Arabidopsis thaliana: one gene and its partners. The protein of the gene in region 2 binds, or shares a complex with, the protein of the main gene of each other region. Each region holds a gene or a part of one and is shown on either strand. Other genes may lie near its edges.

Region 1 (8,205 bases), about 10 Mb from region 2:
CGTAATTGTTTAATAAATATTGGGTTTTTACACAAGATGACCAAAGAAGACCCGTTAATTAACTGACATATTTTCGACATTGTTTATATGGTTTTTGTACACAAAATATGACCTATAAGCCCCTACACAGTCTATCCAGTCTAAAGTAATATATAAGATACACAGTAACGTGTGTCAGAGACGAGAGACATAATATCTCTCATATAGATTCGATTCAACTTAACTCTGTTTTTCTTTTTTCCGATATTCAGTTCCAGTCTCCGTTCAAAGCTCTGTGGTTCTGGTCGATAAATCCAAATAAGTTTCGCGAATTACCGGCAGTTTCTCTCAATCGTTTAAAGATCTAGTTCTAAATCGATTAGGGTGTGGGTTTGCGGTAGAGGAAAAAAATGGTTCTGAAATGATGGGGTGAGAAGAATACGGCGGAGATGTGGTGGTTGAAGATTACGCAATGGTAGTTTTTGTTCAGATTCAAATTGGTTAACAATTAAATTACCTAGTTAACTAAAACTTTATCTAGAGGTAGTGATAATAATAATGTTATTGGATGAAATTCATATTTTGTACGTTATAGTAACTCGTTAATTTTTTATTATGATATAATAAATGAGTTAAGATGGTAAATATCTATATATATCACATCAATTATAACTTATCGCGATACAAAATGACTTACCATGACATAATTATAAACTTATTGATATAAATATTTGTTATCATGTTAACCTAATAAATATTACCGAGATATTTGTTATCATGTTATCCTGATAATACGTTATCTGCTAACTATTCTGATGCATGAATTTTTTTATAGAGATTTTGAGCATTAAATGCTTTGATTTTATGTCAGAGATTGTGTCGGGATAGGGTTATTATCGTCATTATTTCGTGTGTCAGAAGAGAGAGATTTGATTATGAGATTTTCGTTCGCAAATCTTTAATTATATCATCTTCTATGATTTTATTTTTTGTTTACCCATAAATATTTAAGTTTACATTGAGAAAAATAAAATAAATGACCAAAATACTCATATTCTCATGCAAATTCCATTACTACTAGTTTTTTCTAGGGATTTACTCAGATAATAATTAGGTTGTTATTACTAGATAGCCAAATTCTGAGATTAAATAAAGATATTAATCATAAGTTTAGTTTTTGTTAGAAAAGAACTATGGATTCACACGTTAGACGGTGTATATTGACGAAAATATCTTTATCAATTTCTAATATTACAATAAGACTTCCGATAGATTTGAGAAGAGGAAAATTCAATTGTAAAAATACAGTGAAGAAAAATATGTAATTTTCATGATATTTGAAGAAATACATATGACTCCTTACATAACGTGAAATATTGACAGATATGTATAATTATTACATTAAAACATAGTTATTTTATGAAATACTAATGATATATTGGATAAAAGACATGTAATTTGTTTATATAACATGAAATCTTGACAAAAATATGAATCTGTTCCAAAAAAAAAATATGAGATTTTGTTAGATAGCTTGACAAAAATTTACAAGTCAATGTAAAGACTTAAGAGCATGTTTTGTCTTTGAAATACATGCGTTTTTTAAATCATATCTAATCTTATATGTCATGCCGACGAGTGATGGAGAAAATCCGGTGAAAGAGGAAAAAAAGAATAGATAGGAAAAAAAGAAAAATAATAAAAGGGTAAGATGGACCAAAGATCTTATAAAAACCCTGTCGTTGGTTAATTGTATAAATTCTCTAACAATTATATAAATTCAAGACCTGAAAGATTCATTTTTAAGCGCAAATGAAAACAATTGGAATTTCACATATACCACAAAAAGGCAAAAGACAAATTTCATTTTTCGAAAAGATCACAAGGAGAATCGAAAAACACACTCCCTATCCCTTACATACTTAATAGAAAACCAACAACAGACCAACTTCTTATGTAACTTTTGGTTTTCTCCACAATGGGAAGTTAGCAGATTTGGCAGCGAGTCTTTAAAACTTGTTGCATCAACCACGGCCGCGACCTGCTCCTGTTTTTCATAACATATTAGAGTTTTAGCTTAAATCCCATTGTGGCAAGACACAGATATTTGAAGTATTCTAGTAAAATCAGAGTTTTGTGACAAGCTTTGTTTGTGTATTTTTTACCTCTGTTGCCACCCATCTTCCCCATTGAAGTTCCTCTGCCTCTGCCTCTGGCTCCTCCATCATCCACACCACGTCCTCTTCCACGTCCAACACCTGGTGGTTTTCTATCTGCACATATTCAACCATCGTTATTAACACCTGAAGTATTCTCAATGTCTACTCTGGCAAAATATTAACACCTCAGAAAACTCGAAGCATATCTCAGTAAAGGTACAATATAGACATGAGTAATACTATACCTGTGCGTGTCTTCTCCTCCTGTACTTTATCAATCACCTGAAGAGAGAAGAAATCAATTTAAGTCAGTTAACTCAATCTAGGTTGCAGCAGTAAGAACATAAATAGAAACAGCATATGACTGTCCTTCTAGATGAAGATATCGTTTATGGTATGTGAATATAATTTGATTTTAGAGGGAATGAAATAAAGTAGAAACAATAGAGAAAAATCGCATCAGAAACACAACACAGCAAAGTCCATAAAAGTGGGTCAACATTCTGGTCAGCAATAACCATTCCCTGTGATATCGTCTAAGACGCACTACAACAAGAGGCACACCATCTGCTGAACAAGGTTCCACAGAAAAATGCCTCTTGGAGCACATATCTGATTTGGCTAAGCATCATCATTCCAGAGAGAGGGGAACAAAGAAAAAACTAGATCAAGCAAGAGATATATACACACACACACAAAAAAAAATTACCTCATCCGGAACTCGAAGGTACTTGATTGTGTTACCACGGATATAACATTCCGGCATCCTCCAAAATCTATCTCCGTCCTAGAGTAATCAAGCAGCAAAATATATGAGTGTCAGCTACACAAAATTTCATCACGAAGTCTAAACAAAGTATATTTGTATCAACATATGAAAACATAAGATAACCTTTGATGTACATATGACTTCACGCAGATGGATGTTCATCCAAGTATCACAATTCACCAAATGCCCATTGTATGTCTCTCCATTCTTAAGCTCCACGAGCTACCAAAACAAAACAAGATTCAAAATTACAGTAAAAGGAAGTTCCTTTAGATCCCTAATGCAATGCTCACTTAAACTCAGCTTCACTTCATATATAACAAAATTGTAATCAAGGGTCGAAATTTTACTCACCATAGGATGCCCTTGAGCAGTTTTAAGCAGCGATAGAGGAAGCTATAAAATCAAAACAACAGCTTTCAGTTAATAAAAATTGAAACTTTAACGCAAACAAGAAAGAAGGAAAAAAACCCTAAGTTTGTCTAGTAACTTACCATCTTCTTAAATCAGAAGATTTAGAGATCCGTTAAGAACCTGATGACATCAGAGAAGTATAACATTAAACCCTTTATAAGATGCGGAAGAAGCAATAGCGAAAACGGAACAAAAACCCTAATTCAGCTACTAAAAAAAATCTGAGAGAAAAGGGAGAAACCTTGTAATATACTCCGAAGATCGGCAAGAAGGTGAACGATTCAAATATGAAAGAGATCGAAGAATAGAGAGGCGTCGAAACTTCGAAATCTGTTTTTTGCTTTTTTCTGCTTCTCGGGTTTTGACAGTGAGAGGGATGGATTTCTAATGAATCGGTGGTCTTTTAGTTTTAGGTCAATGGGAACTTTTTTGAGTTTTGCACTCGAGTCCCTTAACTTTATAATATTATCTGTTTTAGTATATATTGTTAAACATATCAATCTAGCCAACTAATCCGATGTCGTCCAGCGGTTAGGATATCTGGCTTTCACCCAGGAGACCCGGGTTCGATTCCCGGCATCGGAGCTTTTTGTTTTAATTTTTCGTATACTTTGTCTACACCAAAGTGTATTTGTAGCCGTTGGCAATGGTTACCTGGTGGAAAATAACTAATCATTAATATGTTATTGATGCTCTCGAAATTAATTAATTTACATCACTAAGGCGAACTGTGTGAATCAAACAAAGCCAAGTGATATGTCAAATCTAATCCTAAACTTTTACAATTAAGCTTAAAGCCTCAGCAATGTGATTGTTAAAGCTATTTTGTAACCGACAATACTTCAGACCTCTCTAAATTATCAACCAACTCGAACGTTATTGAACCTCGACCAGCTCCAGTAACTAAATCTTAATCAAAGTTTCAATTACACACAACTGTGTAATTGTGAATCTGTAACTGGTTTGTTTCAGCACATGAAAAGCTGATAGTCAGGTTCGTGAGCTCCGACATTCAAGTAATTGACATCAACTGCGGTTGTTCCCAAATCATCTGGTGGAGAAGGATAAGACATAAAGTTTCAATAGAGCATAAATCTTTAAGAGACTTTGAGTGTATGTATGTGTAATCAAATGTGATCTACAATGAAGCAAATTGATGAGTGAGATGAGAGAAGGTATAGAGTTGTTCAAACCTTCGTATATTGTTCTTACAAACTTAACATAGTCAGGGATGAGATCTCGGTATATGATTCCATCCGGATGCGCATCAAGAACCACAAGTACACCTACAGATCAATCAAAGGAAAGGAAGATGTCAAACGTAACACTACAATTGTTTTCCACGATACTAATGAAAGACAAGATCATCTTGAAACTATGAAGTGTTTAGATCTTTTCTATTACTCTCAGAGATGAAAACAGATATTATACCTGGAGCAACCCAATCTGGAGAAGAGTTGCTAGGTAATGGTGCAAGCCAAAGGATATTCCTCAAGTTCATTGAATCATTGTATTTCACGTCAGATCCTAACAAAAAGGAGATACAATCATAATACTGAAGATTTAAGGGATTTCTGTGACCATTTCTATGTTTCAAGAGATTGCAAGAAAACTCACAGTCACACGGACAAGAACCCATATTACCTCTCTGGCAATATCCCATGTTGTAAGGAAACACTTTCTTGTCATAGGCTGGATACTCTTTAGCATGAAACCTACCATCACCAATCAGATACTAGTCAACAACAGTACTCAAAACCTAGCTCAACCATGTAACTTTCTATAAATATTCCCCAAAACTCATTACTTACGTTCAACCTTTCTAAAAACACTGCAACAATTGTGTTAAGAATCAGAAACCATTCTTCCTTTATTGATAACTGTTGGTTACATTCAAGAACACAAGAACAAACCCTAGAGAGTTCTCTTCACTCTCAAAGCCTAAATGCTCCCAATTAACCAAATGGTCTAGACCCCCTTATATCTACTATTCTAGTGCCTATCAAAGCGTCTCGATTCTTACACAACGAAGTCAGTAACAGAACATGATCATCATTACTATTTCAAGAGTCCTAGTGTGTGTTGAGGAGACAAAGGAGACTTACAATATTCCAAGGCGTCCAGATTCTGAGGCAAGGAATAAATGGCCATGGAACAAATCATATCTACTCAATGAAACATTCAATCCAACACTAGGTCCCCTAGATTCAATTAGATGAAACAAGAACTCGAAATATGAGTTCACTTCCTGTTCATTAACATCATCAATCAGATCACTACACCATAAGATCAAACAGTTCACAAAATAGCTTCTTTTTTTACCTCTGCTATAAAATGACGACCATAAGGAGTTCTAGTAAGTTGACATTTATCTTTTCTTGATCGTTCAACATCAGGAACCTATAAAACCAAATTTTAACCAATTCAATCTAACGAACAATAAACCAAATCAAACCATTAAATTGAAGACGAACCGGGATCATTTTCGGATTGAGAGTTCGCTGAATTGAACCGGGATCACCACCGGAGTCAACAGCGAGACGAGCAAGCTCTAGAACCGATTCCGGTGGCCACCAGATTAGAGAATTCTCCTCTTCAAACTTGCTCCGTCTCTCAACGGCGTCAATTTTTCCGGAACAGAGTCCAGTACGAGGCGAGCATCGTCCAAATTCGGGTTTAGGTTTATCCGATTTGAATGGGACGAGGAATTTAAGACACGATTTGATCTCTCGAGAGACGATTGGGTTGAGGCACGACGCGGCGGAGGGAGGTCCGAGAACGGAGAGTAGATCGTCGCCGGTGGCTTTCGGAAATGACGACGGAGAATGAGAAGCGGAGTGGAGTTTGAAGGATGAAGCTGCTGCGATGGAGAAGGAGATGAAAATGGTGAAACGAAGAGGAACGTACGAATTCACCATTGTCGTGTCCTTCCTCTGAATTTTTGGTGAATCCACATTATCTTTGTAGAAATTGGAGAATGGAGAAGAGAGACTGTAGAGTCACGTAAACTCCATTGGAGAATTATTAGAAGTGTTTAATTAACGAAGCCATTAATTAGCGACAACGACAAACATTGTGGCACACAATTTGTGGGCAACCTTAAAACCCATTAAGAAGCCCGTTAAGAAATAGTTGGGCCACTTCCATCAAACGACGATCTTGATCATCCATCAATTTTAACATCCCACATCACTTATACATTGCCATTTCACAAATCACAATATTCAATTTTGTTTCTATGGACTTTATGGTTTATGTGGAAAGCATGGAATGATAAAGTGTTTAAGAGACTCTACGAGGAACCCACTAATATTATAAATTATGCTCAAAGTTAACAATTATAAAGGGAGGAGACACAATTAGAGGCTCTTGAGGAAACAAAATGACTCCACAACCTCATAACTTATGTTCTTGAACATTGGATGTCAGTTTGATGGATCATGGAAGGCGTCAGACCACACGACTGGGTTTGGATGGATTTGTTTGCAAGGCGATACATTTTTTATTCTATAGGGTCCAAGTGTCATCGGAGGAGTGTAAGTAATGTGTATTGCATATATTTCCAAAGGAGATTACAAGCATATATATACATGAATCAGTAGAAAACTCTAGGTTAAGTCTCTTATAGAAAGAGAGATAGAAAAGGAAATAAGATATACAGGGAATGATGATATGATCATATCATATCCTTGACACGCCCCCTCAAGATGGAGGGACTATGGTCACACCAATCTTGTTTCTTAGCTCGAGAAACCGACTGCGTGGTAATGGCTTTGTAAGTGCATATGCAAGCTGATCTTTCGTGTTGACATGAGAGACGCGGAGAAGACCGTTTTGAACTTGACCCCGGATGAAGTGATAGTCGATGGCAATATGTTTCATTCGAGATTGAAACACAAGATTAGCACAAAGAAACGTAGATCTGACATTGTCGCAATAGATGACTGGTGACACTGGTAGTATGATTCCAAATTCAGTGAGTAGGCTACAAATCCAACGAATTTCTGATGATGTGTTTGCAACCGCTCTGTATTCGGCTTCTGTGGATGATCTTGCAACACCATTTTGTTTCTTTGCAGACCAAGAGATAGGACTTTTACCAAAGTAGACGATATATGCATTAGTGGAGACGTAATTATGTGAGTCTCCTCCCTAGTTCGAGTTTGAGAATGCGTGTAAAGTCAAAAGATTCTTAGCAAAAAAGAAAAAAAGAAATGATTACCAAATGAAAAAGGTATATACTGTTATATTACCAAAAATTTATAACAAAATATAGCACTAAAAAAATGAATTTGTGATCTATTTTGTGGTATATTTTGTTATATTGCCAAAAGTATACACCAAATTTTATAATAATTTTTTTTATGGTCTATTCTATATATTATTTTTTGTTTATCAATAATAAATAAATAATATTTTTTGTAGAGAAGACATCTGTTTTCTTTTTGCGTCAAAATTGGATTAAAATAGAGTCAAAATCGATTAATTTTGGTCAACATTATGGATAAGTCAAACCGGATTAAATATAATCGGTTAACTGATCGGTTCAATTGGAGGCATAGTTTAAGAACAAATCCGAAAGTACATATAATTTTATTGAGATTAAAAGTTTTTATTCGTGGTTTTTTCAGAGACAAAAAATTTAGGGTGAAATATTAAGATTGCAACTAGTATATGACTGAAAATTCAGCCAACCCATGCGAATAAAGATTGAAGTTTTGACTACGGACAATATCAGAATAATTTGTCATGGAGGTCATAATATTTTGTTAAAAATACATCAATTTTGTTTTAAATAATCACAAGTCTTAATGATATATTATACATGCACTTATTTATTTTAAAAATAAATCACAGTTTCGTGTTGTATCAAAGACTTGTTTT
Region 2 (7,126 bases):
CAGCTCTTTGCCTATAATTAGCAGAAGACACTATACAGAAAAGGATTCGGACCACAAGTCATTACTTAGGTCAGCTCGTCGCATAAATTTATTTTGGACGAAATATCTTTGATTTTTTTTTTTTGTCAATTTGGATAGTACCATCACAAACATCATCCTTTACATATATAGTGAATAACTAATCATTCAAATGTTTTACTAGTCAATCCATTGTTCATTTTTTTTTTCTTTTGTAGTGATATTCAGATTTTATTCAATTGCACATAATAAATTTTAGTATCCATTAGAAAAAATGGCCTCACAGAAAAAAGTTTATCAGTTAAAGTAGTATCTAGATTTATGTTTATAAGGTTTTACTATCTATTTTAGGTACTTTCTTTACTTTTCTTAGCTTAAATTATAATTCATGTTTCAGAGATTAATCAGTCCATTCTTGTACACATGATCAGTTGCAAATACCATTAAAAAGAAGTCGGGGATGTACTGTGGGAATATAAGTACTATACTATAAGCAGATTCGATCCCAACTAGTGCAAAGCATTTCAATCTTCATTACAAAAGAAAAAAGTAGCAAACAAAAAAGCATTATCTAAATTTAATTATCCAATCGTCATTAGAATCATTGAAAAGGATATAATTGATTTTAATATCTAAGTGGTAACCACATCAATAATTATAAACTTTATTATAGAAAAAAAAACGTAGCGAATCATCGTCACTCTCAGTCGTTTTGTGGCATATACAATAATAAGCCAAAACACAATGAATCTGGACAATTTGCGAGGCATTATTCACTAGTTTACAAGACTTGCCGCTCACTGATAAACATTTTGGACCACAAAGCAATAAGGCAAATAGTGTTTTCGGGGAATACAAAAATATACAATAATTCTACGGACTTGAGACTTAGCTATAAGTCAATATTGAATATTTTATAGAAATCCGAGACTAGTGGAGACATCGCATGAATTAAGACGGTTTATCAGCATTATTCAAGATTGATTTGGTTTGCATCTAACTAACATGATTAAAAATAAGAACCATTGATTAATTCATTCCTTAGAGTATGGGTTCATGCTTGCATATAAATCACTCGTTCGATTTATTTCGTATTACATCTATTTATTCTGTTTAGGTGCAAAGCCGGTCTTAATAGAATATTGTCTTGAGAACATACATATATAAACTGTCATTGTTTCTATCTCCATAAATTTTGAAATCGATCCTAACTAGTTGAATAATCCCTCTATACCAAGAAGGCAAGAACCGACATTTGAATTAATTTAACCAATTATCTTCCACAATTACTTTCTTTTTGTTGTCCATTGTTCTTCATTTACTTTTGGGTTGAATTTATGAACTCAACAAGTCAACAACATTTTATGAATCATATCAATTTTGGGTACACAATCGTGAAGATAATAACGGAGAAAGCTTGCTAAAGACTTAAAAGTGGTGTTTGTGAAGCAGTCTATATGGCCCACTATTAAACATATGTGATATCATGCATGAGTTTTGGTTACTCATTCAAAAGTATGCTGAACAATTCTTTTTTTGTTTTCAAAAATTACGGGTATGTTAGATTATTTTGAGTTAACTAAAAAGCATAGAAGATTAAAAAAATGTTACATTTTTTATATAAAATATTACAACTACATCTAGTGCCGGCTTAGCACATGTGCTTAAGGTGCTAGGACATATGGTCTAGGGTCCAAAAAAAAAAAAACATGATATGATTACATAATAGCACTGGATCTACAAAATGTTTGAGCCGGTCCTGACTACATCACATAATTTCATGCTAATGTTTTTGTGTGTTCTTACGCCTAACGTCTTCTCTACACAAAACAAAAACATGATCATGATTTAGATTTGGCTGAAAACAGAGTTCTTGATTTGAATTTGACTGGAAAAATGTTTCTTGATTTGGTTGAAACATGTTTTCTTATTCGCCTTACTCTCGGATACCTCGTAGCTGAGAAGATATGGACATTGTTCTTTATAGAAATAATGTAAAGCACGACTTCCATACCTTCTTGCAAGGATCTTTGATAAGTTCCTATCCTCATTAACATGTGTTGCACCTTGTTTTTCGATCCTCTAAGCTTCCAAGTATATGACTACAACAACGAGATTGAATATCTAATGATACAAATGGTATCTTAACTATATACTTTCTTTTCAATTCTTCTGGTAATGTGTATTTAACAATTAATTTTGCTAATCTTGGATGTAGCTTTGCACATGGATTGCTACAGATTAGAGCTGTCACAGCGGGCTGTCCATGTCCATTAGCCCAGTCCAATAATGTCCATTTCGATATTGGACAAATAGTGTTCATGTCCACTAAGGCACATGTCCATTAACGCCCGTGCCCATTAATGTCCATGTCCAAATGGGTTGTCCAATAGGCATAACAAAACCAAATTTTAACACAATAGTATTTGCTTCAGCAAGATGCTTGAATGTTTCTTTGTAAATAATCGCTCTAGAGAGCATTAGATGTGTAGAATTCCATTTTGTGCTTACTACCAATTCTTTTTTCTGTTTAAGTAACTCATATTAGTGAGCTAAGCTTTTGATATTTGCAGTTTCATGAATACACGGTGTCAAAGGACCAAGCTTCATAGTTCATACTATGCATAATGCAGACAATGAACACTATATCAAACAATAGTAACAGAAATCGAAAGAGACCCATGTCAAAATCACTCTCAATAAGCAAAAAACAGTAACAAAAAATCATTTCGAATTGAGTAATCAAAAACCCAGATCGAATTGAGTAAAAATGACGAGAATTTGCTTACTTGAACTGGATTAGGAATCTCAGGAGGATCCATGATGTGATGGAGTTGAGATGTTGAAGGAACTCGCCGGAGAAATCGCCGGAAAGAAGAAATCGCCAAATAAGCGTCGGGGAAATGTTTTTTCCCCAAATTTATTTTTGCCCGAACACTTAAACCTAATATTTTTTGACCATTGGGCCGCCCATGTCCATCACGTCCAGTCCGCTGATGCCCATGTCCGTTAACGCCCATGTCCATTAATGCCTGCTTCATAATGGGCTTGTCCATGCCCGGTCCATTAGGCGTTGGACACGGGCCACTCGTCCATTTTGATAACTCTACTACAGATCAATCGTTCAAAGAAATAATAAAATCTCAGTAGACCTATGTTTGGAAGAAACAAGAAAATTTCATAGATCCGTATAATGGATCCATGATTCAAGATTAGCATAATTAAATTCGAAAGTAAATTGACCTTATAACTAAAGTAAAGTGAATTAGGTGGTTACAGTTTTTTCCAATGACATTGTAACATAATATCTTACAAAAGCCAATATTACTATTTGAAAGGTACTTCCGTACTAGTAATGTAGGGATTTGAGACGTGATTATTTATCCTTAATATTCTAATTAGATTGAAGGTTTATATATTAAGTTTTCCATAGTTAAAAGTCAATCTTGAAACAAAAAGATAGTTTGAGGGTTCTCTTGTAAATTTCCTAAAAGTAAAACATTAATACCCTAAAAATCGAAAAATCAGAAAAAGCTTCGGAGCAAGAAAAATCAGAGAAAATTCAAAAACCCTTCACTTGCCTCACTGTTCTTCGTCATGGCGAACAATCCTTCACAGCTTCTTCCTTCAGGTATGCAATTTTTTCTTCACATCTCTCACTTTCCACCTTCTTATATGTAAGAAAATCGAACTAGATCTGCGATTTTTTGGTTTTCAATTTTTGAGCGATTTGGTTTGTTTGTGCAGAGCTAATCGATAGGTGTATAGGGTCTAAGATTTGGGTGATAATGAAAGGAGATAAGGAGCTCGTTGGTATTCTCAAAGGATTCGATGTTTATGTCAACATGGTTCTTGAAGATGTCACCGAATAGTAAGTCTGATTTTAGGGTTTCGATTATTGCTTCATATCTTGTTTAATTGGAATGTTGCTTGATCTATTACACTTTAGGAGGTGAATCATAGACATTGAACCATGGATGTGATTATGCAGAACTTAGCCTTTTGGATTTTGTTTTTGGGTAATTGATCTCAATACTGATTTGTGAATGTCCATCACAGTTCATTCATTTGCTGATTAATGACATTTATTGTGTATGCATAGAGTCTATTTCAGCGGGGTCATATGTGGTTTCGGTGACTTGAGTTGTTTGTGGTTGTGTGAGGATTAGTTAATTGATGCTTAAACCCGTGTTGCTTTGGAGTTAGGATCTCATAGATTCAAGTTTTGATTGTAACAAATTCTTGATTGAATTGTAACTAGAGTGTGTTACTAATTTATCTAAGCATCGTTGTGTAGTGAGATTACGGCAGAAGGAAGACGGGTCACAAAGCTTGATCAGATTCTACTCAATGGCAACAACATCGCCATTGTAAGTAAAAAAACACTTGTGGTTACTCATAGCCATACGTTGTATAAACTTCCTTGTGATGAATTTTCAAGTATCTTGATATAAACAGTTGGTCATTTGAATAGTCAAATTGCTAAGAAACTGGTGTTGAAAATGTTTGTGATGCAGCTGGTGCCAGGTGGGTCTCCCGAAGATGGAGAATGAGATTTGCGAGATTTGATTGGTGTTTTCAGACTTGTGTGAGGAAGGATGTAACTTTTGGTTTTAGATTTAACACTTTGTTCAGAGAAAAGTAGTTGATTTTAAACTCAGAATGACAAAAGTTTTCATTGTTCAGCAATGTGAAAGAGCTAAAGCATCATATTTATTAGACTCAATGCATCATTACTTCTACTTATTCAAGCTCTCTTCGATGTTCTAATGACTATCCCCGTTAGCCACACGAGCGTTGGACAAGTTATCAACAGAGTCTCCCCTCTCAAAAACAGCTGCAGCTCCCATTCCAGTGCCTGTGACGTTCGCATTTTACATATACCATTAACATAGGTAATCATTGATCCAATTCAATCTGAAAAAAAATCTTATATATATACCTATGCACATTGAGATTACTCCAAAGCGGCAATCTTTTCCTCTCCGCTTCATCTCGTGCAACAATGTCGCAACACATCGAGCTCCTGAACATATAGAAAAGAACTCTATTAGCCTGTAACAAATGTTGCATTTTATTTAGTTACGACAAGCTTGGTAAGTAGTAACCTGTAGCACCCAGGGGATGGCCAATAGCAATGGCTCCTCCATTAACATTGACCTTTTCCATATCCAGCTCTAACTTCTTGCAAGAGTACACATACTGAGATGCAAATGCCTGTTTAACAATGCAACAATAAAGATTTATATGTATGTATTATTCCGAAACAGGAAAAAAACCAATGTGAAATATTTTGTTACCTCATTGATCTCGAATAGATCAATATCGCTGACGTTGAGCCCTGCGAGCTTAGTTGCAGCGGGAATGGCAACAGCTGGACCAATACCCATTACAGATGGTTCCACACCAGTAACAGCAAAACTCCTGCATTGTTCCGGAATCAGATTTGCTCGGTTTCTTGAACTGGCAAAATGTTGTATATTCATTTTACCTGAATACTCCAAGAATGGGAAGTCCCTTCTTCATAGCCAAACTTCTCTTCATTAGCAGTACTGCTCCAGCACCATCACTGATCTGACTAGCATTGCCTACACAAAACACATATACTTAAATGCTTCAATCTATGATCTCACTTATGCCAGTGATAGTTAAGAGAGTTGTTTCTAACCAGCTGTGGTGGAACCGTTCTGTTTAAAGACAGTCTTCAGCTTTGCCAAATCTGCCATGTTTGAGTTTGGACGTACACCGTCATCAACAGATACGACGATTGCCTTCTCTGCTTTAGTCTCAGGGTCCACAATCTGTCAAGAACAATATCATTTACTGAGAAAGCTCTACCAAAAGGGCTTTAAAGGAAGTTTGGGAGGTTCTTGTTTTACCTTAGTAGCAACAGGAATGATTTCATCCTTGAGTTTACCAGACGCGATTGCAGCTGCAGCGCGTTTGTGAGACTCCACCTGATTATTACTGAATCAGTACTTATATGAACTAGAGAGGAAAAAAGTGAAGAGAATAACTAACTAACCGCAGCCATATCTTGCTCTTCTCTTGTGACACCGAACCTTTCTGCAACGTTTTCAGAAGTAATTCCCATTGGAAGCAAACAATCACGGGCTTTTGGGAAATCCTGTGCCTATTCCCATGTAGAGTTTACAAGATCATCACAAAACTCTTCTTGTTGAGTAAATTTATACACTCATTGTGATAGCTTACTCTTGGATTAGAGCCATGAAAGCCGCCTCCAGGAATATGATCAGTTGACATTGATTCCACTCCAGCACCAATACCTATGCAATTCACAAAGTTGAGAGAATCAATCCCATGGCCTATACAAGCAGCTAGAGACTACAAAAAACTGATGCAGCAGCATCTTACCAATGTCGTAATAACCAGCTCTAATGGAAGCAGCAACATCAGCAACTGCTTGTAGTCCTGATGAGCATTGTCTATTGACAGTTCTAACTGGCACGGAGTCTAGCTCGTAAAAGAGAAGGATGAAGAAACATATCAACAACTTGTGAGATATTAAGTTTATCTTGATTCTTGAATGAGATTTAGTACCAGGAAAACCAGCAAAATAAGCTGCAACTCTACACTCCATTGCTCTCTGAGAACCAGGCGCTATCACGGTACCAACAACGATATCACCAACTTCACTTGGATCCAAAGATGTTCTTTCCACTACAGCCTAATCAGAACAAACCATGAAACATAAGAAATCATTGATACTACTACTCCATGCATGCACAAGGTTTAATTGATGACTTACCTTAAGAACAGAAGCAAGAAGATCATCAGGAAGAGTGTCTTTGAAACCTCCACGTCTCGCTTTGCAAATGGCGGTACGATATGCCCTGAAGAAGAAGAAGAATCAAGAAACAAAGAAAACTAAAGAAAGTGAAAGTGAAGCAAACTCAATGAGTATACTTACGCTACAATCACAATGTCATCTCCAAAAGCAGCCATTGGGGAAACTTCAGAAACACAATTCACAGGCTAAAATTAACAAAAACACAAGTGAGTCACATAATAAAACAGAGTTAAAGATCATCAGCTTCCACAAACAATTTCAATGTCTAATTAAGACTCACGGATTAAGACAACTAAA
Region 3 (7,456 bases), on a different chromosome or scaffold from region 2:
CAAATTCATAACACAACCGATCATGGTTCATGTTAGCATAAGCTAGAAAACCTCACACTATCTGATATAAGCTAAACTTTTAGAAGGCACCTTTCTCTTTTTGCTTTTCTTCTTCTTTGAATCTCTGTCTTTCTTATCTGCGAGGTCATTGAACCATTGGCGACCAGTTAATAACGTCCTCAGAAAGAAGGTTTAGATGTCATGTTAAGTTAAGTGGATTATGTTTACCTTTTCGTGACTTATCACTAGAATAGTTCCTTCCTTTGGAGAGTTTCAACGACCTTTCTGCATCCAGCTGAGCTCTATACTCACGCATCAGTTTATCGGTATCTGCTTCAAGTTCTCCCTTTTTCAATTCTTCTTCCTACACATGTTACACGAAAGAAAGATATAATGTTAAACATTTCCTAATGTTCCATACTCACAATACAGAGAGACTGCTGCAAGTAGTAGTAAAAAACTGATATTGCAGATAATAAAAATGTTTAAAAAATGAGCATGACTAGAGTTACTTGAAAACCGCGAGATAGGGATAGATGTAATGTAGAAGGAAGACACACTCATTTTTATATAAACACACAAAGACTGCGTATCTGTGGCTGAAGATGATAAACAGCAGAGGAAAAGAAAATGATATGTTGGAATAAAGCTTCTAAATTGACGACAATAATAGCAATCTTATGAACACTAAATCATCAATGGTCAATTGATTATCTTCTATGGCATTATAACAAGGAACACCGTTCCATACAACATACAGAAGAACTTAAGTATTAAAAAGGCAAAAAGATTACCTTTTGCTTCTGCTTATACTCTTCCCAGGTAATAGTATGTGTAGTCTTGAGGCTAGCCAAACGAGCCGCATGCCACTCTGGTGTATGAAATGAACCATCCACCTGAGACAATCCTCATCAGAAATGTTCCGGTACCAATGCAAAATATCAAAGTTTGACTAATCCAAATGCTTCTTTGTGTTCACAGCTTACAACAACAATAAAAAGACTCTTGAATCACTGTAACACAAACTCTGATGCTACACTTTTACGAAATCACATTTAAACATGGACTTGATATCGTCTACAAGACCTAGCAGGTATTAGATACAAGTTCTTCCCCCAAAATTGGGACTCATAAAGGATCTCTTGTAGGCTTAATTCTAAATGCAGCTCGATAACCCAACAACACAAAAGATCAACAAAACCATAAGTAAATCAACCAAATTGGAATTTTGTTTGGAGAAGTAAAAAAAAACAGAATCAATTTGCAATGAAGAAGATGAGAGTATGAAAAGGTACAAACCATTCCGTCTTCAACCTCATCCGGCTGGGCGGAGCTGGAACCAACCCTAGATCTCTGCATAGCCTTGTAAGCTTGATTCTTCCCCATAGCTAATAGAAGATTTACCCCACAAGAAACAGTCCGCAAATTCCTTGCAGGAGAAAGAGAATTTAGAGAGATTGAGAGGAATTGTTTGTAAAATCTAGGGTTTGGGGGATTAACGGTCCAAAGGGAGAGGATTTAGGGATCTGTAGAGAAAGCAAACGAGAGAGAGACGAGAACAGAAGAAACTGTGAGGTCGAACCGAAACGCACTGGAGATTTAATTTCACCCTCCAAAGTAAAATAATAAAATCTATAAGGACTAATGTTCAATTATTATTAGTTTTAATATGAAAACTCGATCGAATCGAAATAACAATAATCATATAGTATATAGTTTTGGAAATAAATAATAAAAGCCCTTAGGACCGATTCGTTATTTCTTCGCTCTCTCTTTCTCTCTGTGTCTCGTACTCGAGTAGGTCTCAGGTAAGGAGTTCTTCTTTCAGTTCCTTTAATCCTTGTTAAAGTTTCGATTTCTCTTTACATTTTCAATCGAATTCGCTTCTATTGGGTTGAAGGTTTAGGTTTTTAGGTTTCGGAGTCTTTTTGTGATTCGAGAGATTGACTCTGAATGGTTTTTACCTTTTGAGTTTTTGTAGTTCGAAGAGCGACCAAACTGATTTCAGATCTCAATTGTTTCTGCAGTTACGTAAAGGATCGAGCTTAAAAGATGAGTGGAGTTGAAGAGAAAGTTTCTGGAACGACAAAGACACCTGCAGATTTCCTCAAATCCATCCGTGGGAGACCCGTTGTTGTCAAGCTCAATTCTGGTGTTGATTATCGAGGTGCCTCTCTCTCTCGTTAGATGTTCTTATGTGTTTTGCAAGTTCTCTATCTCTGCTGCACTTTAGGTTAGAAGCTTTGACTTAGGACTAGTTCTTTTGTCTATGTTAAGGGAATTAAAGAGTTGCTTGTATTAAGCCCACTTAAGTAACTTAATTATCATGTTATGTCTTCAGCTTTTAAATGATTCTTTTAAAGTCAATATGTGAAGCTTTTCTTACATTTTCTAAGGTTTCCTTGTGAACATTGTTCAATGGTTTTCTTAAGAACATGTTCCTTTCTGCCTGCAATAAGGTTACAATAGTTGACTGAGATATTTGAATATTTAAGTCAGTTTCTCTCATTATCAAGGCTACTTATATCATTCTTGTTGACTTCTTTCCTTTCGTGCCCGAGTCAGTTTTGTCTATGTTCTGTTCAAGCTTAATGTTGAGTTCTTGATCAAGTTTTTATTACTCTTTTCACAGGCACTCTTACTTGTCTTGATGGATATATGAACATAGCAATGGAGCAGACGGAGGAGTATGTAAACGGGCAGCTCAAGAACAAATATGGTGACGCCTTTATCCGTGGAAACAACGGTAACTAAAATCTCTCACACTCATCCTTCTCTCAATCTTCTTCTTTGTATATCTTTCTTTTTAAGTGTGGTTTCTTTGGATGCAGTTCTTTACATCAGTACAGTAAACATGACTGTAGCAGACGGAGCCTAGGCCCATCATGATCATCAACAACAACAACAGTGGTCATGTTATGGCTGCCATTTTTGTTGTCTTCTTCTACCTCATATTAAAAGAGTAGTAGACATGTACCAAGATTGTCATCCTATGTTCTTCAGTAGATTTTTGGGATACAGACATCACTTTTTTCTTAGTAATATGATACTCTTCCATGTGACCCCAGATAAAGAAGAAAAATTATTAATTTATGGCTTGATACAATCATACAAGCAAACAAAATTGAGTTTGGGTGACCAACAGATCGAAACGAGGAAGATCATTAAAGTTTAGTAATCGAATTATGTCATTTAGGGATCACTGGAAACACACATGTCAAACTAGTATAACCAGTCAATCATCAGATTATCATATTCATAGCCATCGACACATTTGAATCAGGAGTTTCCATTGAAATAAAACGCTCAAGATATCATTCTTGGCGTAATGTTATTTTTAATCTTCAACCTCTTTTCACATTACTAGCAAAAGGTCTCGTATTCTTAGCCGCTTGTATATGTAAGTAGCCTGCTTATGTCTAAGCAGCAAAACATGAAGTAGAGCTTCTCTCAATAAAACTCTCTTCACTAGTATTAAAAAGTCTATGTGTGTCTTAAAATCATAGTATTATTTCCTTCAGCTTGATTCTTCTTCCGTTGCATTTTCTTCTGGCTTGCTTCCCAATCTCCCCAACCTTACAATGTCTTCCACCATAATTCTTCCCTCTGTTGAATAACAGATTTATAAAAAAGATCAACTTCAGGGAGATAAGAGCTCAAGAAGGAGAGGATCGCTCTGTTCTTTACCTTTATCTTTGGAGAGACTACTGATTAGTTGTTGAAGGCCGTCGTTAGCGAGTGTGTCTTTCAGGTACATTGCAGCAGCCGCAACTTCATCAGGTGTGACTTTTCCATCTCGATCTCTGTGTTCATTCAGATGTGATCACTTTAGATTCTAAGTCTCGGAAACAGAACACTCAAACAGAAAAATGGAGTCTATATACCTGTCAAGAAGCTGCCAGCCTTTGCCAATTTTGATATCCACATCATCAATTTCCTTCTCTAGGTTTTGTATCAGACCATCAACCTTAAAAAGTATGACCGAAGAGTAAGCCTCTTAAACAAATCTCATGGGACTTTAATAGTCTTAAAAACCGATTTAAAATCTTCTTACCTTCTCCATTAGTGCAGAGGAAACCTCGTCTGCTTCAGCAACTTCATCAGCTTGGTCAATATCTACTCTAGCTGCTTTGTATGCCTTCATTGCAGCTTTTTCACCATCTACATCTTCTCTCTCGACCATTGTGTTATAGAACTCCACCTGGAGAAACAGAAAAACAAAGTCTTTCAATCTACGACACAAAGTGCTGATCAAGCATTGGTGGACAGCGTACCTCTTTCTTGACCAATCTCAGGAATTCTTCGCGCTCTCTACACACCGACTGTTTATATCAAAAGCAAACAGAGTATCAAATAAATATCCAATAAACTGCTCTGCATACCCATTGTTGATAACCATAGACTCATTTTTCTTACAGAAGCGGAAGCCAAAACGCCCAAGGCGCGGCTAAGTTTGCAAAGATCATCTTGTTGTTCAAGAACTCTAGCTCTGGCCTGTTCTTGTGCTTCGCTGGCTGTTGGTATGGTCATCTCTTGCAGTGCCTTATCCTCGTCACCACCTTTAACATCCTTAATCCTTGTAAGCTCTTCTTCTTCTTTCTCTTCTTCTTCCTGCAAATATAATAAATACAAAATGTAAAATCTGGAGCAACCAAAATTCGGTTTCTCTAACTTCCTCAAGCAAGCATAATCCAATACAGTCAAGTGGTGTATCAAGACCTTGATCAGTTCTTCTTGCATCTCAAGGTACTCTAATTTCCGTCTTCGCTCAGAAACAGGGTCTTCAGATGGCAGAGAAGTAATACCAACAGTATCCACAACCTCGTCAGGTAGAGAAGAAAGAGTAGCTCGGACAGCATCCTCTGCTTTAACTCTTCCAGCAACCGTGAATGCCCTGAATATAAATTGCTCTTAGAAATTTCTTTGCAATAAAACTGATCGAAGAACAAAAAAATGACAGCAAAGAGTACTGGAACCAACCTAGAGAGGATCAATAACGAAGAGGGGACAGAATGATTAAGTGACAAATCCATCCAATCGCGAAGCTACAAAATTGTTTCAATACTAAAACATTAATAGCTGTAGAGTTATCTTCTCCTGATGGAGTTTAATAAAGAAATAACAAAGAATCAAGAATCATAGGAGTAAAGAGGAGAAACCTGTTGCCTCATCTCTTCAACTGAAACCAGTCCCAGCATTCCCCGTTCCCTGCAATCTTCGCGTAACTCAGCTTCTGAAAGGGAATCCACACCCTCAGCTCTAATCAGTTTATCATCTTCCTTAATGCTGCAGTGAAAAGAAGTAGAAATTAAACATCAAATTAAGGTAAAAACTAACAATTCTAATAACAACGAGATATGGAAGAATCTTACCTCCTCAGTCTTTTTCTGAGCATATACCGCAGATAAGCATCTGTTCCATATGGGCTAATACCCATATATTTGCACATGCTAACCAAGCGAGGCCTATATTTGAAAAACAAAGAGGTATATTACTGTCGGAACATGAACCTCTAAGAGCACAAGACATCTCTGAGATCAAACAAAAAAGAAACGACTAACCTGCTAATGTTATCCAAAGTAAGCTCATCGTTGAAAAGCTTTGCAAAGCCCAAAAGTTCATCATTATGGACTATTTGACCTCTTCGAACCTGCAAGGCATGATTTTAAGAACAAGGAGAATGAAATTCAAATCCAAAAACCGAAAGAAGAGGAAGTATTTGAGCCAACACAAAATTATGACTGTTTACCTTGTCTAGAAACTCATCCAGGTCTTCAGCGGTTTGCTTTACTTCTCCAGTTCTTGAATGTTTAACTTCCTTAGCCATCTCTCTGGCGGTTTCCTGAAGAAACTTAGCATATTCTATCCTTGCAAGTAATTTCCTTTTCAAAGCTTCCTGTGCATTAACAAAAGAGCAACATCGGAAAGAGACCAAGAAGGCAAGAAGGTAGTAAACGAATGAGTAAAGCCTACACTCTGTTGAAACATACCTCTTCTTTCATCTTGTCCTGGAAAGTTGATGGTAACATATTAGGGAAGAGCTTCAAGAAAACTGGGAGCAAAAACTCCATAAACGGCACAAGGATGAACACTGCAAATGGCACTAATCTAAAGATATCAGCTGTCGTTCGAGTTAGCTGTTGCCTTTCTCTTCTGGAGAGACTTTTTCCACCAGCCAACTTGAGCAGCAATCTTGAACTGATTCTAGTGTCTGCCCAGAGTAATTTGGTCCCCAGCCAATAATGTTTCAATGTTGATACAAACTCATGTTTCCAGTGAGTGAGCTTTTTTGCCCAATCCGCCCTGTAGAAAACAGAAAATCAGTACACATAAAAATCCATGCATAAAGCCTGGCGATTAAGAACGCAAAATGTGAGGATAAAGCCAAACCTGTTCATGGAGGCAACAGCTTTTATAGCAGGTCCTATCTTAAGAACAATTGCCCATGCCCTCTGTACTATCGATCGAGCAACCTTTTTGGATTCTTGAAGACGTTTAGCTTTCGCCTTTGCTTTAACACTGCTCAGACTTTCAACAGCTTGATCACATTCCTCAGGAGATGCTTCTTTCCTGTTCTTAGCAAGCTCATCAACCTTTTTATCCTCTTCTTCCGGTTTCTTAGCTGCAACTGTAGTAGCATTACGAATGGATAGGCTCATGTATCTCATCCCCAGAGAAGGACCAACTTCTGAACTTCCATAACCAAATCCCGAGGAGTGAAAACCATGAAAGCTACGATTGAAATATCCATTTCTAGAAAGCAATAGAAGACCATCTCTTCTTGTAAAGGACTTGTGTTCAGTCACAGGTTTAGTTTCCACGGGAGGACGGTTAATACCAGAGTGGTAAGCATGTGAATGAACCGTCTGAGAGGAGTTTCCAATGTACTGAAAGCTCTGAATAGAGCGAGCATAGACATTCAAGTAATCGGAAATGATATTCTTTCTCCTAACGATCGCTCTTGACGCCATTTTGTCAAATCCCTTGTTGTGCAAAGATGAATCACCTGAACATCTCCCAGAAGAGAACACTCCTGATAGATTTGAAAGAGGAAAAATCGCTATCAAAATCTACGAACCGAAACAAAACTCAGACGATAAATCGAAATCGGTATGAGAAAAATCACAATATTTACCCTAGAAAACTCTCAAATGACGACAATTCTCGAAATCTCGAATAGAGTTGAAAAATGAAGCGACGCAAGCAATCGAAATGCAAAGCCTTGATTTTAAGAAATATGAGGAATTCGAAGAAGATATTGAAGAAAATAACGAAGTATAACTTACAGTAGACGGAGGAATCTGAAAATGACGAACGCTGTTTACCGGAGAAAGTGAATCACGCCGGAGAAATTTGAGAGGTTTTAGGGATGCGGCAAATAAATCGTGAGAAAGGGTTTTAGATTTTTCTTTACTTATTTTTTTGTATCACTTTTTAGGACAGAATAAATAAAGAT
Region 4 (7,650 bases), on a different chromosome or scaffold from region 2:
TTCTTTTGGAGCCAATATTCTCATTCTCCGAGCAAAAAGGTCCTTATTTTCCATTTCATTTCTTTTCACCAATGGACATATATGGACCTTCCAATAGCCTTGAATCCGCAGTTAACTCAATGAAAGTGATGGTGAAGAAATTGCACAGTGAGGGAATAGAGGTACTTTTGGAAGTAGTTTTTACACATACTGCTGATTCTGGAGCTCTTCGTGGAATTGATGACAGTTCCTATTACTACAAGGGAAGAGCCAATGATCTAGATTCTAAAAGTTACTTGAACTGTAACTATCCTGTTGTTCAGCAGTTGGTATTGGAGAGCTTGCGTTATTGGGTAACCGAGTTTCATGTAGATGGATTTTGTTTTATAAATGCTTCATCTCTCTTGAGAGGCGTTCACGGTGAACAGCTCTCTCGTCCTCCTTTGGTTGAAGCAATAGCTTTTGATCCACTTCTTGCGGAGACCAAACTAATAGCTGATTGCTGGGATCCACTTGAAATGATGCCAAAAGAAGTACGGTTCCCACATTGGAAGCGATGGGCAGAACTCAACACAAGATATTGTCGAAATGTAAGAAATTTTTTAAGGGGAAGAGGCGTTCTTAGTGATCTGGCTACAAGAATTTGTGGAAGTGGTGACGTATTTACCGATGGAAGAGGTCCGGCCTTCTCCTTCAACTACATTTCAAGAAACTCAGGACTCTCGCTTGTTGACATAGTCAGTTTCAGTGGCCCTGAGCTAGCTTCAGAGCTAAGTTGGAATTGTGGGGAAGAAGGAGCAACGAATAAATCAGCTGTTCTTCAAAGAAGGCTAAAACAAATCCGCAATTTCTTGTTTATACAGTACATATCACTTGGAGTTCCAGTGCTTAATATGGGAGATGAATGTGGAATCTCGACAAGGGGCTCGCCTTTGTTGGAATCACGGAAACCTTTTGATTGGAACTTGCTAGCTTCGGCTTTCGGTACACAGATCACGCAATTTATCTCCTTCATGACTTCAGTAAGAGCAAGAAGAAGTGATGTGTTTCAAAGGAGAGACTTTTTGAAACCTGAAAATATTGTTTGGTATGCAAATGACCAAACAACTCCAAAGTGGGAAGATCCTGCTTCTAAGTTTTTGGCATTGGAGATCAAATCAGAGTCAGAGGAAGAGGAAACTGCGTCATTGGCTGAGCCAAATGAGCCAAAGAGCAATGATCTGTTCATCGGATTCAATGCGAGTGATCATCCTGAGAGTGTAGTCTTACCTTCACTTCCCGATGGAAGCAAATGGAGAAGATTGGTCGACACAGCTCTTCCTTTCCCGGGGTTTTTCTCTGTCGAAGGAGAAACCGTTGTAGCAGAAGAACCGTTGCAGCAACTGGTTGTGTATGAGATGAAGCCGTACAGTTGTACCCTTTTTGAAACCATCAATACTACCGCTTAGAACTCAAGTTATGATCTTTGTATATGTTACTGTTTTGTTACATTTCCAGTAAGAATATATTCAGTTAAATCAATGATTTCCACAATATCTTATATATATATAACATCACTTAAGCCTTTTGCTTGTATCCAAAGCTTGATACTGTATCTCCTCAAATCAGTGATTATTATTCGTTCTGATACGCGTATGCCTTTTATGGATTCAAACGAGTATGTATATGGAAAGATGATTTTCTTCAAGATTGATATAATCTTTATTTATTTTGTATAGATAGGATAAGATATGGATTGCTTAGGGTTTATAATCTTAAGCAAATTCTATAAGTAAAACCCAAAAAAGTTCTTCAAGTTATTCTCTGTAGCTATATTTTTTCTTTGAAAGCAGCAGGAACGTGATCTGAAAAATGAACGATGGTTGCTGCTCAAAGTGTCAGGTTAAAGCAACGAAGAAGAAGAAATCGAAGAAAAACGAAGGTGAGTTGTTTAACCTATTTGAAGATTTCTTACTTTTATCTTCACAAATCTTAAAGTTTTTGCCTTTATGATGCACAGATGAGCCTGATGAAGAGGATGTGAAACAAAAACAGAAAGTTTCAAAGAATGAGAATCCGAAAAAAGATTCCAATGGGGAGAAAGGATCAGATGAGAAGGATAAGAAGAATAAGAACGTCCTCAGATGGCCACAAGACTCAAGTACAAAGAAAGAGAAGGGTGATGGTAAAAACTTGTCAAGCGAGGAAAATGGTGGTAAAAACTTGCCAAGCGAGAAAAATGGTGTGAACCCGCCGCCGCCTTGTTACACCGCTCAACCGATGATGTACCATGGTGGACACAATCCTTTACACCGGTGGCCCATATCCGCAGCCTCGAGAAGCCATTATCCCCCGTTTTCGATGGGGGCAATGCATGGACCATATGGTGGTTGTGGACCTTGTGGTGGTCCAATTGATCCATACCAATCCATGCCTCGACCCAGAATGTTCGATGGTGTTCACATTTCACAATATCCGCCTATGGCTGCAGCATATCCGTATATGGCTGCAGCTGGTCCTTTCCCCTATTGGCAAACCAGACCGTACATGGATGCAAATCCTATGAAGCGTTACACTACCTATGCAGAAAATTACTCCTATTTTTATTCATGAGTCTATGTTTTTCCTCTGTTTGCTTCATCTCAGAAATAAGAAACTAAATTAATGACAAGAGTTAAGGTCCTATTGCTGCTATGCAAACAAGAACTCATATTACTTTATATAAGTTCCTTCTTACTGAGTCTATATGTTTTTCCTCTGCTTGCTTCATCTAAGAAAGGGAAAAACTTAAGTAGTGACAGCCTGACAAGAGTGAAGGTGTTTCTAAGTAGGCTTTAATAAGCTTTTCATTTGAACGAGGAAAAGAAATTAAATTATCCATTGTTAATAAAATGGAACAAGATTCATGGCCATACCATTGGCTCTACATCAGGGAAATATTCATTATAAAGCCATTACGCCGAATGAAAAGTATTCAAGTTTTGGAGATACAAAGATATTTCAGAATCAGCCACCCCTAGCTTCTCTTCTAGCTGCGTCGTGAAGCAAATCAACATCGACTCCATCTTTAGGTAACTGCACGTACCTTACCACAGATCCTCTGATGAAACAGTTTCTCACTGAAAGCTACACAGAACAAACACACAAATCCGTCAGCTAAAAACATCTTCGGGAGGATTCTAGCGAAATTGTACTATTTGACAAGGTTTCTAAAGTGTGACACTGACAAGATAAAGAAATACAGTGCCAAAGATATAACAATATAAACGCCATAAAACCTAAATGCATTGAAATTGGTCATGCAAACATATTGCAAATCTTTTGTAATCCTGAGTAGACTTGACAAATTGCAGTACAAAAGCAGCAATCTCAATCAAATATGTGAACCAGAACCACTAATCACTTCAAATCATCCCTTTGCGTCTGTAAATCTAATCAATATCACGTTAGAGCTTCTCAAGCTTGGTCACAGTAAATGAAAGCAAGGAAAAAGAAAAGAGTGAAGGCTTAAACACATTTGCAAGAGCCAAGGATTAAGCTTTCAATCAGTTCATAAGTGATATTTTACAATACGAGACAAAGAAGTATAGCAAGAAACTAGCGAGTGAGATCAATTCCAGTATAATGTCAAACACTTAAGAGCACTTCAAGCACACACAACAAAGAAAATATTGCCTATGTGAACAAAAAAAAAACAATAGGCTGCTCCAATAAACCCTAAATTCCCAATTCTTAGAGAAATCGCTTAAAAGAAAGAAAATTTACCATGTGAGGGTACTTGTCCTGGTCAACAACCCTAGTGTTCTCGAGCTTGATATTCAGATACTGATCAACTGAGTGAAGAGTTCCTCTTATGGCTAAATCATTCTTCAGCTCAACCGTCACTTCTTGTCCAACCAAATCCTTGAAGTAAGAAAAGAACAACTGCACCAGAGAACAAACACAATCAAAACCCATCACGAGAAACCCTAAATCATCATCGAAAACCATAAACTCGAAATCTCCAAGAACCCTAGAACCATTGGCTAAAAAAGAGTAAACCCATGAATAATTACGAAGAAAGAAGAAACCTTTTCTAGGTCAAACAAAACAACTGCCAACAATCAAGTTCATGAAGATGAAGAAAGCATTCAAATTTACCATTTTTGTTTCCTGCTGATTTCTACCTCTGCTCGCAATTCAACAAAGAAGCTGAAAAAGCTTTGCGGGATTTGAGGACTTTAGAACTTCTCTCTCTCGAGTAAAGAATGTATGTACCCTAATGATCTTTGGGTTAATTTCGAGAATATAAGAAACCAAAGGTATATTTATGTAATTATTGAAAAGATTGGGTATGTTCTTGGTAATTTAAGTAATAAGTGCCTCAAAGGGTAAATATTTAAAAACTCAAAGTGTGTTTTGGTCACCAGCCAAAACTGAATAAAGAAAAGATTTACACAAATCTTATAATATCTGACGCATATATAGGCGAGATTGCTGACGATAAGCTTTTTCGTTTTGTTTCCATGGTTTTGTGACGAAGAAGAGAAAAAAAAATAAGAAGTCAGTTTTTTCTCAATGGCTTCTCATAGCTATTCAACACTTAGGTTTAGTCTCCTTCAAGAGCTAAGAAGCAACGAGATCATCAAGGTCAGTTTTTTACTTTCTCTGTTTTAAAACACTTGGGTTTAGAATCTCTCGTTGAATTCTTGTCCTGGTTCTGTCTTCTCCTTGTTTGGTTCTTATGTCTATGAATGATTCAGACAAGCCGGGCTTATCTGGTGAATCCTGGAGGAAGAAAATATGAGATATTACCGGAGAGCTCCTTTAACCTGAAATCACAACTCTTGGAGCCATTGAAACCTTTTTCTTCTTTTAGTAAGTCTAACCACTTTTTGGAGTTTGATTCAACCATGATGAAGCATAGACTCATGGATGTTCATGGTATGTGACTTTGATCAAATTTCAGTTGAATTCACCAAATTGTAATCCCTTTTTTCGACTGACATGAACTGTGGTTAACAGAAACTGGACCAGACCCTGTGTGTTTAAGCTTGGGGATCACTCAGCAGTATGCAAGAAAAGAGGAGGTGTTAGAGTTCCTTTTGTCTAGATCAGAAGAAGAACTCAAAGAAGAAGGATTCGATTTGTCTCTCCTATCTGAATTGATGGGTCTAGATGCTTTAAGATCAAGTTCTCAGCAACCATATGCAAAGCCGTTATTGGATCTCATGGTGGATGCTAACATTCTGTTCTCAAGTAGCAGAGCTGAATTGAATGATTTGGTCTCTACGGCAGCTGAGTTTCATAGATTAAGGAACTCAACAAGATGGAGAAAGCTCTCACGGCTTGTCCCGCAGTTTCAGCGGTAGTTAATTCTTCACTGCAAGTTTGATTCATACCTATGAGTCTCATCCTTTTGGGTTTAACATTAAGTTTTTGCTCTCCTCTCATTCTGCAGATTCGACAGTGAAGTACCAATAGACACTCTGCAGCTACCCGAGGACGCAGTTACACTAGCTCCTCCAAAGAGGTATCTAATATCATCAACTAGTTTTTGGTACTTTTGCATCTTTAAAAAACGTTTCTTTCGATTTCCAACAGTCCGAAGAAAACCAGGCTCAAGCCTTCACCAAAGAAACAAAATCCGAAGATAAGAGATAAGGAATATGACCTCTACGAACGAAACCGTCTTCATGCGTGTGAGAGCCTTCTCTCTCTGATGATAGGCAATGAACAACATAGAAAAACCACAATGCTATCTCTAAAGAAATCACGTGGAGAACTCTTCGAGCTTTTGACTCAGTGTTCAATTGGCTTTGCTGGCACTGGTATGGCTGTGCTCTTCTTTCTCGTTTGTAATGTTGCTTCCAGGCAGGTACCCTTTTGCGCAAACCAATTCTTCGAGGGTGCAATGAGTTTGAGTTTGGTATTGCTCTCGTGGTCTGTGAGTAGACTCAGGGAAGCCCTTGTTAATTTCAATAGGAAAACAATCAACGAAGAAGAAGTCTCAAATAAAGTGGAAAGAAGAATCAAAGAAGTTTACTTCAGAGCTGCCACAGTTATTGCCATGGTTGCACTTAGGTTTGGTTGAATGTTGGAATGCTGATGATTTGGAGTCTAGTTTCTAACTCCATTCTTTGGCTTGCTTAAAGGTTAATTTGTCAATGTTAGGTTGTAGAATAAAGTGAAGATATCACACTGGGAGAAGCTTTTCTTTTAAAACACTAATCTCTCGTTTATTTGATATAAACTCTCAAAGTAGTAGAAATCTCATGAGAGATGAATCTTTAGATACTAGAGAACAGTTGTGTTTTTTCGTTTGAAGAACTTTTAAATCTGCTATAGCGACTTAGCTCATCACTTTTGATACCACACCGGCTCCAACTGTTCTACCTCCTTCCCTTAGAGCAAATCTTTGACCCGTTAAAATCGCAAAATAGAAACAACTTGGATTACTCAAGAAACAACTTGCTTTCTCGCCTTGAAATGGTGATTGGGGTTTAAGTGAGGGTTAATTACTCACGCGAGGGTTTCTCTTGGATCCATCCAGATCCTTTTCTATCCTTTTCTGTGTTCTTCTTACCAGTAAATTCTCAAAGGACGTCGATTGTGGTTTTACACTAATAGTTTCACATCGATTCGTTGCATTATTAAAATCCAATCATAAAATTTCTATTTATACATGCACACATACGGTACATGTTCAATTGAAACATTTTCCCTAACTAGACATGCCAATAAATAATAAGTTGGTTTGGTCCAAAAAATAAAATAATAAGTAAAATTCTACAAAACAAATGGTACAGTTTTGTTAATAACTAGATATTCATCCGGGTACACAACGTATTTATATTTTTGTTAACAAGTTAAAGATTTTATTTTAGTTAATAGTATTTATAAATGATAAACATATTAAGAAGTACACAACGAGCCTATATTTTTCTCAAAAATTTTTATTTTTTTGTTTTAAAGATGATTTATAGATATATGCTATTGCTTTTTTTTATGTATGATACATCTCGAAATGATTTATATAACTAAATTTCTGAAATTTTAAGTTATTTTTTGTATTAATATTGTAAATTTTGTTTAATTTTAGAATTTTACCATAGTATATCATTCCGTATTAATATTGATCCAAACCGTCTCACCATATATCCTAGTTCTGTGAAATTAAACATCATTTTGTCATTTTCTTATAAAGTTCAAATCTATATAATATTTGAAACTTCAAAAAAGTTTTAAATATATTGTATTATATCGTCCCGTATTAATATATTTTTAAATATATATATTATATAAAACTTCATAAGAGTTTTAAAATTATAAATATTAAAACGTTTTAAGAAGTTTTAATTTTAAAAGTTTTACAATTTGTAATATTTAACTTTTTTGGTTCTTCACAAAGGACAGAAATTGAGATTAATTTTGACACAATTAAAGCTCCGAATTCGCAGGGGTCAGTTGATTGATATACTCAAAATAACTGGAGAGAATGACTATCGCAAGATGAATATATTCAAACTTTCCTCAAACCACCTTCTCAAGTAAAATTTAAAAACATATTTTCAAATCAATGTAAAATAGAAACGTTGAAGAGAAAAACAACTGAAGAATGGGGGCAAAGCGCCAGAAACTTGTAAAAACAAGTAAAAGGATTGGCAAAAGTAAGAAAGCACACCACTTTAAAACTAACATTAAGCTTTGGAT

What was found.
Region 1: SAD1 (region 2) and emb1644 share a complex: the UniProt entries of both Arabidopsis thaliana proteins name them as parts of the heptameric LSM1-LSM7 complex.
Region 3: SAD1 (region 2) and LSM6A share a complex: the UniProt entries of both Arabidopsis thaliana proteins name them as parts of the heptameric LSM1-LSM7 complex.
Region 4: SAD1 (region 2) and LSM2 share a complex: the UniProt entries of both Arabidopsis thaliana proteins name them as parts of the heptameric LSM1-LSM7 complex.

Annotation. Positions count from the first base shown.
Region 1 is NC_003076.8:9,811,103-9,819,307, reverse strand, and holds emb1644 (Small nuclear ribonucleoprotein family protein), read right to left. Parts: upstream 3,809-8,205; 5' UTR 3,563-3,808; intron 3,442-3,562; 5' UTR 3,405-3,441; coding exon 3,402-3,404; intron 3,304-3,401; coding exon 3,262-3,303; intron 3,130-3,261; coding exon 3,031-3,129; intron 2,926-3,030; coding exon 2,848-2,925; intron 2,779-2,847; exon of another isoform or gene 2,641-2,778; intron 2,421-2,640; coding exon 2,384-2,420; intron 2,253-2,383; coding exon 2,145-2,252; intron 2,027-2,144; coding exon 2,004-2,026; 3' UTR 1,690-2,003; downstream 1-1,689. Other genes in the region: AT5G27710 (T-box protein), read right to left, coding at 4,290-4,372, 4,515-4,607, 4,753-4,848, 4,966-5,036, 5,427-5,569, 5,644-5,721, 5,796-6,239. UniProt on the Arabidopsis thaliana protein: Component of LSM protein complexes, which are involved in RNA processing. Component of the cytoplasmic LSM1-LSM7 complex which is involved in mRNA degradation by promoting decapping and leading to accurate 5'-3' mRNA decay.
Region 2 is NC_003076.8:19,809,792-19,816,917, forward strand, and holds SAD1 (Small nuclear ribonucleoprotein family protein), read left to right. Parts: upstream 1-3,554; 5' UTR 3,555-3,615; coding exon 3,616-3,649; intron 3,650-3,765; coding exon 3,766-3,889; intron 3,890-4,315; coding exon 4,316-4,388; intron 4,389-4,535; coding exon 4,536-4,571; 3' UTR 4,572-4,763; downstream 4,764-7,126. Other genes in the region: AT5G48860 (uncharacterized protein), read right to left, coding at 1,860-2,120, 2,808-3,074; KAT5 (peroxisomal 3-keto-acyl-CoA thiolase 2), read right to left, coding at 4,785-4,876, 4,961-5,044, 5,127-5,235, 5,319-5,442, 5,510-5,606, 5,687-5,819, 5,898-5,975, 6,044-6,151 and 5 more. UniProt on the Arabidopsis thaliana protein: Component of LSM protein complexes, which are involved in RNA processing. Component of the cytoplasmic LSM1-LSM7 complex which is involved in mRNA degradation by promoting decapping and leading to accurate 5'-3' mRNA decay.
Region 3 is NC_003074.8:22,094,789-22,102,244, forward strand, and holds LSM6A (Small nuclear ribonucleoprotein family protein), read left to right. Parts: upstream 1-1,680; 5' UTR 1,681-1,808; exon of another isoform or gene 1,809-2,027; 5' UTR 2,028-2,052; coding exon 2,053-2,167; intron 2,168-2,632; coding exon 2,633-2,746; intron 2,747-2,831; coding exon 2,832-2,878; 3' UTR 2,879-3,178; downstream 3,179-7,456. Other genes in the region: AT3G59800 (stress response protein), read right to left, coding at 91-137, 229-364, 795-896, 1,300-1,386; LETM1 (LETM1-like protein), read right to left, coding at 3,501-3,604, 3,688-3,803, 3,885-3,967, 4,055-4,201, 4,275-4,322, 4,417-4,611, 4,720-4,894, 4,981-5,045 and 6 more. UniProt on the Arabidopsis thaliana protein: Component of LSM protein complexes, which are involved in RNA processing. Component of the cytoplasmic LSM1-LSM7 complex which is involved in mRNA degradation by promoting decapping and leading to accurate 5'-3' mRNA decay.
Region 4 is NC_003070.9:815,197-822,846, forward strand, and holds LSM2 (Small nuclear ribonucleoprotein family protein), read right to left. Parts: upstream 4,368-7,650; 5' UTR 4,102-4,367; coding exon 4,099-4,101; intron 3,883-4,098; coding exon 3,724-3,882; intron 3,085-3,723; coding exon 2,965-3,084; 3' UTR 2,738-2,964; downstream 1-2,737. Other genes in the region: DBE1 (debranching enzyme 1), read left to right, coding at 1-1,427; AT1G03320 (uncharacterized protein), read left to right, coding at 1,831-1,900, 1,979-2,571; AT1G03340 (uncharacterized protein), read left to right, coding at 4,516-4,587, 4,701-4,881, 4,963-5,305, 5,399-5,470, 5,542-6,031; AT1G03350 (BSD domain-containing protein), read right to left, coding at 7,638-7,650. UniProt on the Arabidopsis thaliana protein: Component of LSM protein complexes, which are involved in RNA processing. Component of the cytoplasmic LSM1-LSM7 complex which is involved in mRNA degradation by promoting decapping and leading to accurate 5'-3' mRNA decay.